Linked DNA regions of Drosophila melanogaster. The protein of the gene in region 1 interacts with the protein of each later gene in a pairwise test. Each region holds a gene or a part of one and is shown on either strand. Other genes may lie near its edges.

Region 1 (6,046 bases):
GCCAGTGATTTCAATCGGATTCAGTCGGCCGCCGCTCGGTTGGTTGCCATTCAGGAGTTGGCCAAGCGCAAGGGTTCCTTCAGTGAGGAGGACAACAAGATCTATGCCAGCAGCTTACTGGAACTGGGCCAGGCTGCCCAGAGTTTGGCCATGCTCCAGCAAAGCGGACAGATTAAGGACTTTAGTGTTCTGCTGCAGCCGGACATGTTTGGCAATCCTCAAAAGCAGCCAGCCAATTTCGGGCTAGAGGCCACCAACAATCCGGCGGACCAGAAGATCGACGAACAGAAACTGGACGAGGTCACTGAGCAACAATTCTCGCCGGATGAGCAGTTCCTGCCCCCCAACAACGAGGATCCCTATGAGGATGTTAACGATAGTGTGTCCGTAATGGCTCCTAAGAAAGATGCCGCCGTGGCTGAGGCAAAACCAGTGGGTAAGTTCTCTGAAGGAGAGGCTTCTCTTAATTTACTTCTATTAAACCCTCCAATCACCTTTTAGGTCTTTCGATTGCCGGTGAAGGTGGCGTGGCCTCCTCAAAACCGAACGCTGTGGCTCTCTCCGGCCGGAATGGATTGGCCGTAGCTTCGCCCAAGGCCACAGCCATTGCTGGAGTTTCTCCCGAGGAGGCAGCTGCCTTCAGCATTTCATTGCCCACTCGCAATCAACTGGTGATCAAGAGTCCCAATTTGGCTTCGGAGAAGGCTAGCGAAGACTATGACTATAATGATGTACCGCTGACGGTTGCCCGCTTTCCTCTGACCCGGGAAACTCCTCAGCAATTGGTCCCGGTTCGCATCTCTGGAGGGGATTCCCTTGTGGAAAGGTGGCGCACCGCCATCGCAGAGGATTATGCAGCCAGGCAGGCGCTGACCAAGGTGGCCATGCCGCATCCCACACCCTTCATCCGCATGGCTCCCAAACTGCGTCTTCACTCCGAATAGAAAAAGTGCTGTAGGATTGGATGAACGAGATTAAAATTGGATTGGACTTGATCGCAATGAGATTCATACTTTACTTTAAGCAACATATTGTGTGCCAGCTCCCAGATTGCCAATAAAATATGTCTATTTAAATAAATGAATTAATCTGAGATTCTTATTAAAGATCTATACAGGTCAATTAAATATATCATTTATAGCCTATAGCTTAGTTTCTGAATGTTATATAAACAAGTTTAAAAGCTCTAGTCACTTTGTTACAAAATTTTAGACACAAAAATGGCTTGCAAGCGATCGTTGAGATGCAATAATTGTTCGGTCTTTAAAAAGGAACGTAATTACAACCGACTTGCGGGCCAAAGAACTGGAGTTTTCCATACCCTGTTATCGGGCGTTCGAATCACAGACCGCAAATAGCCAGTCAAGATCACGTGAAGAATGCGACAGAGGGACACGGCAACGCATCTAATTGCTGCGGGAAGTGCATACAGTTTATAAGGAATATAAATTTATTTATGCGATTGCGCCCAGCGCATTGAAAATCTCAGGCGAACTGAATGCAAGCATGTGCAAATCTTGATTAATCTTTTCCGCCAGGGCAGGCAACATGAAAATAAATTATCTAAGCGGGCAGCGGATGGAGGGTCGGTCGGCAGGAAGGAACACATTCAATTTGCACCTGAACCAGTTGGCTCCATCGACCATCTCCCATCCGAGTACCTTTGCCCGTCAATGCGGCTTCAATGCGTTCGCCCATGCCATGCTTGACTTCTATTACGCGGCAGGTTTAACAAACTTGATAGGCCCAGAACTTGGACGGGGATGTGGCGAAGACGGCATCTCCGTTGACCATCTGCCATCTGCAAGCGAACCTGAAACCAGAATGTATCTGGCCCGCCAGCTTTGTTGGCTATTCGGGCTTCTTTTGGCTAGCGAACGACTTGGTTCCCCCTTCGGCTTTCCTGCGGGAAGCTGCACATTTCCAGTTCCATCAGGTCTGCAGCTCTTTGTTCTTGGGATAGGTCAGGGTAAGGGGTCTGTGGTCGCACATTATAAAAGGCCATTGCCGAGCAGCACTGGCCACCAGTTTCCTTGAAGTGGTCGCCGTGTTAACACTGAAGACTGAGCCCGTTCATCGTTCACTGCCATTGTGTTCTGACTGACTAGTGATAGTTTAGATTCTTCTTGAGCGGATTGCGGATCGTGTGGCCACCAGAGAACTCCATCAAACTACCTGCCTAGATTTGGGAAAGTCGAGAAAGGCCCCATCAACTACTGAAACGTAAGTCTGACCCTCAATTTGCGTTTATGTTCGGCTTATTTCAAAAAGTGTGCTTAATTCAATCTCGTTTTGCTATGGTCTTAAATTCTTTTAATGGGGTCATTAAACAACTAAGTAAGTTATAGTCTAGGTCTAGCCATAAAATCGCGAAAAGAAAGTAAATATATCCGAAATTATGGGTTAAAGCCATGAAGAATAAAAAATTTAATATTTTTGAAAGAATAAACGTTTTTTATGAGAAAGCTAACGTTATTTGAATGTATTGAAATTGGATGTAAATATAAATATAATATATATATAAAATATTATTAGCCTCTAGCTTCAAAATTAGGGGAGAAAAGACAAAGAAATTCAGAACCTTAGATAGATATAAAAAATAGTTATGAAATATGGACCAAGCTTTTACTTTTTAACGATTGGCTCAATAATATTATCAAAGAAAAACTGGATTATCCCAATGCGAATTTAATTGCTAACAAATTTAAAGAACGACATTTAAGTTGTATGTATGTTATTGTATAATCACATTTAAAGAAATTTATCTAAATATCGAATTTAATCACATAAGTCTTGAAAATAAGATGCGATATTCCCAGTTCGCATAACATATTTTTTTTACGACAAACAAAAGACTTAAGAGCCGAACTTGGCAAGTACCACACAAAGAGCACTTGTAAAGGGGTGGGGACGACGAACTTGACTATCAAGTACCGATTTAAGCCATAAAGCTGCTTTCAGTCATTAGCTAGTATCTACACTAGAAGTGCTAGGCAAAGAAGTTCCAATGGCCTGGCCAATCAATTGCAAACCGGTTGATAGTCCCTCGATCCATGCAAGTACGAGGAGCATCCTGTCCGACCAGGCAACATGCAATTACACACGGACACACACAGTTGCGCAGAGTAACGTTAAATTTAGAATGGACTTTGGTGCGGTGGCAGGAGATCGGCTATAAATAGAGCATTGGCTAGACCCGTTTACAGCACTTGGGCTAAGAAGATAATAATATACAGTAGGGATTCTTCTACACAGAAATATTGAGTAAGCGAGACAATAATTACACTTACTCACATACTTCTATGTACACTTCCAAAAAAAATTCAAAATTAATCTTTACTCACATATGGTTTGGCAACTTATGTACAATATATCATAAAAAAGTATATATATATTAAATTATATATCGAATTATATACGTATTTTTTAAGTATACACCATTCTTTACGACCGACCATTCGACCCCTTACAGAATGTTCCTCCTCGCGGCCTTTTGTCTGTCCCTGGCGGCAATGGGCGGCCAGGCCAGGCCCCTGGAGCCGACGGCCCAGCACATCGTGATTGTGACACCGCAGGCGCAGGTTCACCTGGAGCCCGCTCTACGCTACGTCCACGGACTGTCGCCACTGGCCCGCGTGGCCACTCCGCACCACCATGAGGAGACGATTGTGTATGTGCCTGCTGGAACTGCTGCCCAGGTGGTGCCGGTGGTGGATGCCGTTGGATCTGGCCGTGCTGGCGGTGCTCCGGAGACCAAGCAGTGGGAGAACACGGGCGAGATTGCCAACCAGATACAGCAGGTGTCCCAGCAGGGCGTCGAGATCGTGAGTGGTCAGTTGAGCGAGGCGGCAGCATCCGCAGCCTCCGCCGGAGCGGGCTTCTTCCCCTCGCTGTTCCCACCAAGTGGGTCCAAGAAGGAGGAGCAGCTGCAGGGTTTGAAGACCGAGAAAATTGAGCTGATCGAAACGCCGGCCAATACTCAGCCATTGATTGCCACCGAGGCCAGGCATTTCTACCGTCTGCCCCAGGTCTATCACACTCCGGTGGTGGATGTGGTGCATGGTCCCCTCTACACCTGGCCCATTTCTACCATCCGAGCACGCAGCATCCAGCAGGAACCCGAACCGACGTTGGCATCGGCTGAAACTGCTTTAAAGCAGACTCTGAAGGCTGAACCACTTGCTGAGATCAAGGCGGAGCCACTGGCTGAGATCAAGTCAGAGCCGCTGGCTGAGATCAAGCCGGAACCACAGGCCTTGTTTAAGGAACAGCCCCTGCTGAAGGAACAGCCCGTGCTAAAGGAACAGCCCCTGTTGAAGGAACAGCCCGGGCTAAAGGATGAGCCCCTGTTGAAGGAACAGCCCCTGCTAAAGGAACAGCCCCTGCTAAAGGAACAGGTTTTTGAACAGGCTGCTCAGGAGTTGAAGCCCACTATTCCTGATTCTAAGGAGCAGAAGACCGGCCGTCTGCTGGATCACTTGGACATGAAGCGTGTACAAAAAACTTTGGAGATTGAAGAGGAGATATTGAAGCAACAATGTGAGGTTTTTTATTAAGCACACTTTATTGGTTTGACCATGTCATGTTTTTCACAGCCGCCAGGATTGAGCAGCAGAAGGAGCTGATCAAAACCATTCAGGCCGAGCCGGTCACCAAGCCCATCCAGGCGGAGCCACAGACCAAGATTCTTCCCGCCGAGGCGATCCAGACTGAGCAGCCGAAGCAGCAGGAGATCATCGCCGATGCCATTGTGCCGCAGGCTTAGAGCCTCGGCTGGAACCAGAACTCATCTTTGAATCTCATTCATCCCTTGGGCAGCTTTGGTTCTACGACTGATTCACATAGCTGGCCCGGCGCAATGACGACCGGGTCATGGGGTTTCCCCTCATCCACCATCCATCCATCCACCCACCAATCGTACATTTAATTACTAACAAGAACACACGCATCCGCAACATTTTCCATTTTCCAGACATTAATTAACAGCAACGAAACGAGAAAGAGACATTCATTCATAATTATCATCACGAAACGTTCGTATTCATCATCATCATTACATATTCATTAACCATAACATTGAAAACGTAAAACAGAACAATAAAAAAGTGAATGTAAAATGTAGAATGCAGGGAATGGAAATTTTAGGTTGGATTGGAATATGTGGGAAAATTATACGACTTTTTACGACCTTAGAAAGGTTTTATGAAAGAAACTATTCGAATATGACCGGAATACAAAAAAAAAATAATTAAAATATTTATTTAAGTTTCTACCATGCAAGGCACTTATTTTAGCAATTGATTACGCAATGACAATGACCCCCAAAAATTCGACGAAATTCGCAGAGACCAGAAAATCCCCAGCAACATACAAATATTGCAACTATTACACGGTTGGGTAAATAAAATCATAAAGTGCCCGGATTCACAACCCTGCATACAAAGTAACGTCGAAACGTGCCCTGATATTTGCGAATGAGGGTGATATATTTTTAAAAAATATTTAAATTACAGCACTTTTATCGTCTTACATAGCTAGTTGAATAAATATGTATTAAATAGCGTGAATTCTAGTCTGTATCATCCCCCACTGTAATGTACGCGTCCTGCTCACCGACTGCTATCAGTTCATCATCGTTCTCGGCTTTTGCAGTGGTTACATCCGGAGAATCATCCGGCGGCTGTGTAGTAAGTTCAATTCGCTGCAATCCACCGGGTTTGCTTGTATCCGTAAAGCGATAAACCGAAAAATACGTTTGAATGCGTTGAATGATATTCTCCAGTATGGGCGGAAACTTGTGTTCCACTCCATCTCCATAAATCCTTAGGCTCAATCGCGTTTCGCCACCGATGTCCGACATTTTCGAGGGACTCGCTTTCAGAGCCTGAAGAACTCCTCTCAGCATTACCAGGTCCTGTAGGTTACTGCCACTCTGATTGGGCGCCCTTCTGAGTATTAGTGATCCATTGGGTTTGAATTCCAGGTAACCGAACTTCTCCGTATCCGTGGGAAGTGCTTGGGAATTCGCTTCAATTCCGTTTTTGAT
Region 2 (4,993 bases), on another chromosome or scaffold:
TCATATCAGATCGACTGAGAACGGAACCCGGCATCAAATGCGCAGCGCAAAAACACCTCAAAAGATCTGAGCTCACGAACAAGCTAGAAGATACGTTTTGAGTACGTTTTCTGTGTCATCGCCAGAACAAATTCAATTAGGGAACGACGACGTAGAGATAGATTGCCGGCCGGTCGCCAGGTTTTCTCGGTCGCATTTGAGCTGAGTAGATTTTCGCAGACTTTTGGCATTGAGTATGGCGGGCCAAATGACGGGTCTCTTGGCAGATAGTCAAACAGTCCGTTCCAGAATGCTAGGAGAGATTTTAGAAAGCTGATCTGGGCAGCGGATCAAGGCGCTCAGGCGCTTGGAACGGATTTGGTTTTAAGCAGCGCGTCGCATAAACTACTAATTGACTAAAGTAGTTCAACTATTTGGGACATGCGGTATATCACTTCGTTTTCGTTAATAATTGGCAAAATGCGGAATAATCTCTTTGATATGGCGATCAACACTGGCGTATTTGAAACAAATCAGCGTAGAAATTTAAATGTACTAAAGCAAAAAATTCGGAGCTATCAAAACAAACTGGACTTTCATTGAGCCAAGCAAACAGCTTAATTTCTGAAATAGGTTTAATAATTATGTGCAATAAACGACCAATAAACGATTTTAAAAATAATGTATAAATGGGCAAACAAACTAGTTACAAAACCAATCTAATACAAAGTGATAATCTAAATGATCACAGTGCACATAGCGCCGTGTAAACTATTTCTATGGATGCAAATTAAATACACCTCGTGACTCAGTTTTTTCTGTAACCCTAAACATTACAAATTTTTGTGTTTTTGGGTAAATTTACAGGGAATAAATTTCTACGATTTTGCGGTTGCATTGCGACTGTCAATCGGATATGGAACGTGTGTGCCGGCGAAATAGAAAACCCGTCAATCGATCCATGGATCGTTTGGCAGATCGTTTGCTATATGGGCCAGTGGGTCGTCGTATGTTGACGACTGCGGTGCGGTTACGTGCCTGAAATGAGCCACATTGGGCGGATCAATTAAATGGTAGCAGCACTTGCCTAATTGGCCATAATTCTCCTTACCAAAAACACTTTTCGGGGCAGCTCTATAATTATGATCGAGAGTTAAGAGTGGGCGGCAATTTGTTTTGTTTATTTTTGAATTGTGCGTTGGTGTTTCAAAACGATTAAATAATTGAAAGAAGTGAAGCATTTGTTTACCAAACGAAACAGTTGACGCTGGGAATTATTAATGGTTTCTCTTTAGAGAAGAATTTACACTAACTACGCGAGTTCTCGCCGAAATAATTGCAAGTTCAATGTAGTGCAAAAAGTGCACTCAAATGGGGTGGGGTCAGCGTATATGTATGTATATATTTAGCAAGTGAGTGGGTCTGTCATCGTTTCCATTAGATCATTGCATTCGCTTATAGTATACAGCAATCTACATCTTGTGGGTGCACATATATATATGTAGGCGGATGCTTGACTTGCTTGAGCCAAAGATGCAAACACAAAAGTAGTCAAATCTCGGGTATTGAGGGTAGAGAGTAAGTAAACTTGATGAAATGACCCCTTTACAATGTCAAACTTAAAAGTGCATTATTTAAACTCACCATTCTTTTTGGGTTTCTGTTTTCCCATTTGAATGTGGGTACATTTTTTAATATTAACCTTCATGAGTACTTGGTGATAGTATAGTGGTGGGCTATACTATTGAAACATATTTTACTGCGATATTTTCCGGAGAGCAATTCAATTATCAGACTTCTTCCAACTGTTTTATAAGTGAAGAACTCGCGTATAAAAGTGGAAATCGGTAAAAACCCCTTTTCTTGAATTGTGAAATTAATGTTCTTTGTTAAGATGTTAATATGTATGTGACAATGCACTGACAAGATTTTCAAAGGGGCTCTGGTTGAATTCCCATTGGTGTTCAGATGTGTTTTAATTTCATCTTGCTTTAAATTCTAGCTTGTAAAATGGATGATAATTAAACCCAGGGGATAATTAAGACCTTTAACTACTTTCAAAAATACTGCTCTTAGTAACATATTTGCTTTGAGCAATAATACTAACTGGTTTGCGTTGTTGCACAATGCGATTAGACTTACCTCTTGGTGGTGGACCGGATTTGGGAGTTGTGTGATTGCAGCACGGTCTTCCGATTTTGGAAACAGAACCCGTCGATCCAAAACTAGATGGTGCCTTCATTTTGCTGGGCTGCGGGATTCCGGTACCAGAAGTAGCGGGCGTGGGAATATTGGATCTGATGGGACCCGGTAATTTGGAGGCAGTGGCTCCTGGTTCCGGGTCCGCAGTAACTGGCGATGGAAAAGGGGCACTTGTCCCGCCCGAAGCGCTCGTATCATCACTCATTTTTTACTTTATTCTTAATAATCTTCACTTATTAGGACACACGCGTATTAAAAGTAAACGATTTAAAAAACTTGGGGGAAAAACAAGTGCAAAAGAATAATTTTTGGTAAAATAAATGGAATGCTGATCACTTACCTTAACAAATATATGTATAATTCGCTTAATTTGCTTTTATTTTATATTTTTGCTACAAAAATAAATGGATTTTTTTTATTTTTAGCTAGGTTTTGAACCACTGTTCCACTTTTGTTGTTGCTTTATTTTGGCGCGCAGGCAGCTATCTCACTCGCACTTAGGCGGCTGCTTTAAAACAGCTGACTGAGAGCAGATTTCTTTTCTTCTTTTTTTCGTTGAGCTTGAAAAACAAACAAGACCGCTTTTTGTTGTTGCTCTCGTTGGCCAGAACTTCGTTATATTTTCAAAAAATGCGGAACACAAATATGTATTGAATTAATTTTATGCGACTAACAAAATCACTCAAGGGTATTCTATTTATATAAATTCGTAACTTTTTATTTATAATTTTGTGTTGGGCTGCTTGCGCTGATATTCATCAGACTTAAACAAGATTAAATTGAATCAAATTGCTTATCAATTTGTGCATTTCACACACACACACACGCACGCTGTAGCTCTGTTCTATATTTTATTGTTGCTGCTGATTTGACACAGTTATAGAAGAGGGAACCATTAGAAGAGGGTGGGAAAAGGGACGCGAAAACGCACTCTTATTGGTGTGTGTTTACCGCACACACACACAGTACTTAAATAAACTGGAGTGCTTTACATACTGTGCTGTGCGAATACGATTTAGAAATATACGCGATTGGGATTTTACAATTTTACACAAATTTTAGATTTTTTTTGCACTTAGTTGGCGTTGCGTTGGAATTTTGTTGTTGCACTGAGTTAGCGATGGTAGCACAGCTCCAGTGCAGCGCGCCAATCGATAGTTGCGGCTATATTTTCCCGAGGTATTTTTAGAGTAATGCGGTCATACAAAAACACCCTGTAGGAAATTGGCGAATATTTATTCGTGAATATAAATATGTAAAATATGAAATTATGTCACCAATAATGGAAGCGTCGCTGAGCTTATTCAGATTTGTGATCTGAGCCCACACAACTGACAAATTAACGAATTTATAATTTAGTCTAACATGGTTTTTTAATATTCAACCAGTTTATTGCCGGGTTCCAATACCAGGTTACCTGGTCATTTGTTCATTTTTTCTTTAAGTAGTTATATGAAATGTTTCGGTGTAATAACGACTCAGTAATCTAATAATGCCCTAAATTTGAAGGGGCAAATGCTAAACGGTAGATCATTCTGAATAAACAAACATTACATTACATTATAAAATGTAAGATTGTTGACATTTCGAATTGCGATAAAAATGGAGCCAGTGTATCATCGGCGCACTGTGGTATTTTATCGATAGTACTCAAAGGCACGCCGATTTTAAACTAACAGCAACGTTTCCAGCGCTGCCCAAGTAGCATCCCATAAACCGATTCAGTTGTTTTTCGATTTTCGTTGTGCACTGTCGCTCGTCTGCTGCGTGAGCTTGTGCGTGTGTGAGTGCGCGTGTGTGCGAGGAGGCAAAGAAGAGGAAGCAAGAAGGAAGCCGCAAAAGGAAAATCCAATTCCGAGAAATCTTATCAATGAGCCAAGAAGACGTACACTAAATGAAAAATAATCGAGATGCGTGCGTTTCAATAGAGCAAATTTAGTTTCCAGTTTCGGTTTCTTTCGGCACTTCACTCCGTTTCCTTATCGGTGTGATAGTTTAGCGCGTGCGTGTGTGTGTGCAAGTGTGTGGAAGTGTCGCCACGCCTACACGGGAAATGGCAGCAACGGTTTACCAACGCCTACATAGCGTCGCAGTCGGCGTCGGCAGCGCCGCTGGCAGCGCCATCGGCAGCGGGTCGGCTTCCCTTCCAGGATCTGGAACAGGATCGGGATCTGGAATAGGCCACGCTGGAAACACCTCCTCCTCCACCTCGTCTGCCCTGCTTAGTCATTCCCAGCTGACGCGCTCCCTGGAAAGAATCCTGGAAGAAGCGCACTTCAGCGGCGAACTGATCCTGACCAATCGCAAGCTGAAGGACTTTCCCAGGACTGGAACGAAGTACTCACTTACCGACACTGTCATCGCAGGTGCGTACCGCTATTGTATAGTGTATATTCGTAAGGGAGAACAAAGAAAAGGTGTTCTTCAAGCCGGTTTCGTAGCTCCGGAAAAAATTGGGTTTTCATTACTTCCTAAGTAAAGTTTAAACTGTTCTTAATAATACTTAATGTACGAAGTTAATAACATTTTATTGGAAAAAGCATACATTTTTATATTACAAAGTTAAATGGTATTAAAGTTGATTAGAAAATTGTTAGTTATAAAGTTTTCTTTTGACGTCAGAAAAAGTAAAAGTAGAGTTTACATATGTACAAGTACTGATAAAGCAATTAAATTAGTTGCTTATCGAAAATGTTTGGCGTATGTGTATACCTTTAGGGTGCGGCATTTAAGCAAAGGAGGTTTGTTGCCGGTGAGCTAACGAAGTTTTTCCATCTCCATTGCAGTGGCGAATTTTCCTTTTGTTGCTTGA

What was found.
Region 2: the proteins of CG13023 (region 1) and CLIP-190 interact in a two-hybrid assay, tested with the Drosophila melanogaster proteins (one large-scale study listed by BioGRID).

What each region holds. Positions count from the first base shown.
Region 1 is NT_037436.4:16,923,412-16,929,457, reverse strand, and holds CG13023 (uncharacterized protein), read left to right. Parts: upstream 1-2,023; 5' UTR 2,024-2,223; intron 2,224-3,472; 5' UTR 3,473-3,473; coding exon 3,474-4,539; intron 4,540-4,595; coding exon 4,596-4,765; 3' UTR 4,766-5,544; downstream 5,545-6,046. Other genes in the region: CG13028 (uncharacterized protein), read right to left, coding at 5,570-6,046.
Region 2 is NT_033779.5:17,383,024-17,388,016, reverse strand, and holds the start of CLIP-190 (cytoplasmic linker protein 190), read right to left. Parts: upstream 3,003-4,993; 5' UTR 2,522-3,002; intron 2,457-2,521; 5' UTR 2,387-2,456; coding exon 2,122-2,386; intron 1,872-2,121; exon of another isoform or gene 1,688-1,871; coding exon of another isoform or gene 1,624-1,687; intron 1-1,623. Other genes in the region: Lrch (Leucine-rich-repeats and calponin homology domain protein), read left to right, coding at 4,235-4,547. UniProt on the Drosophila melanogaster protein: Together CLIP-190 and jar may coordinate the interaction between the actin and microtubule cytoskeleton. May link endocytic vesicles to microtubules. May play a role in formation of furrows during cellularization.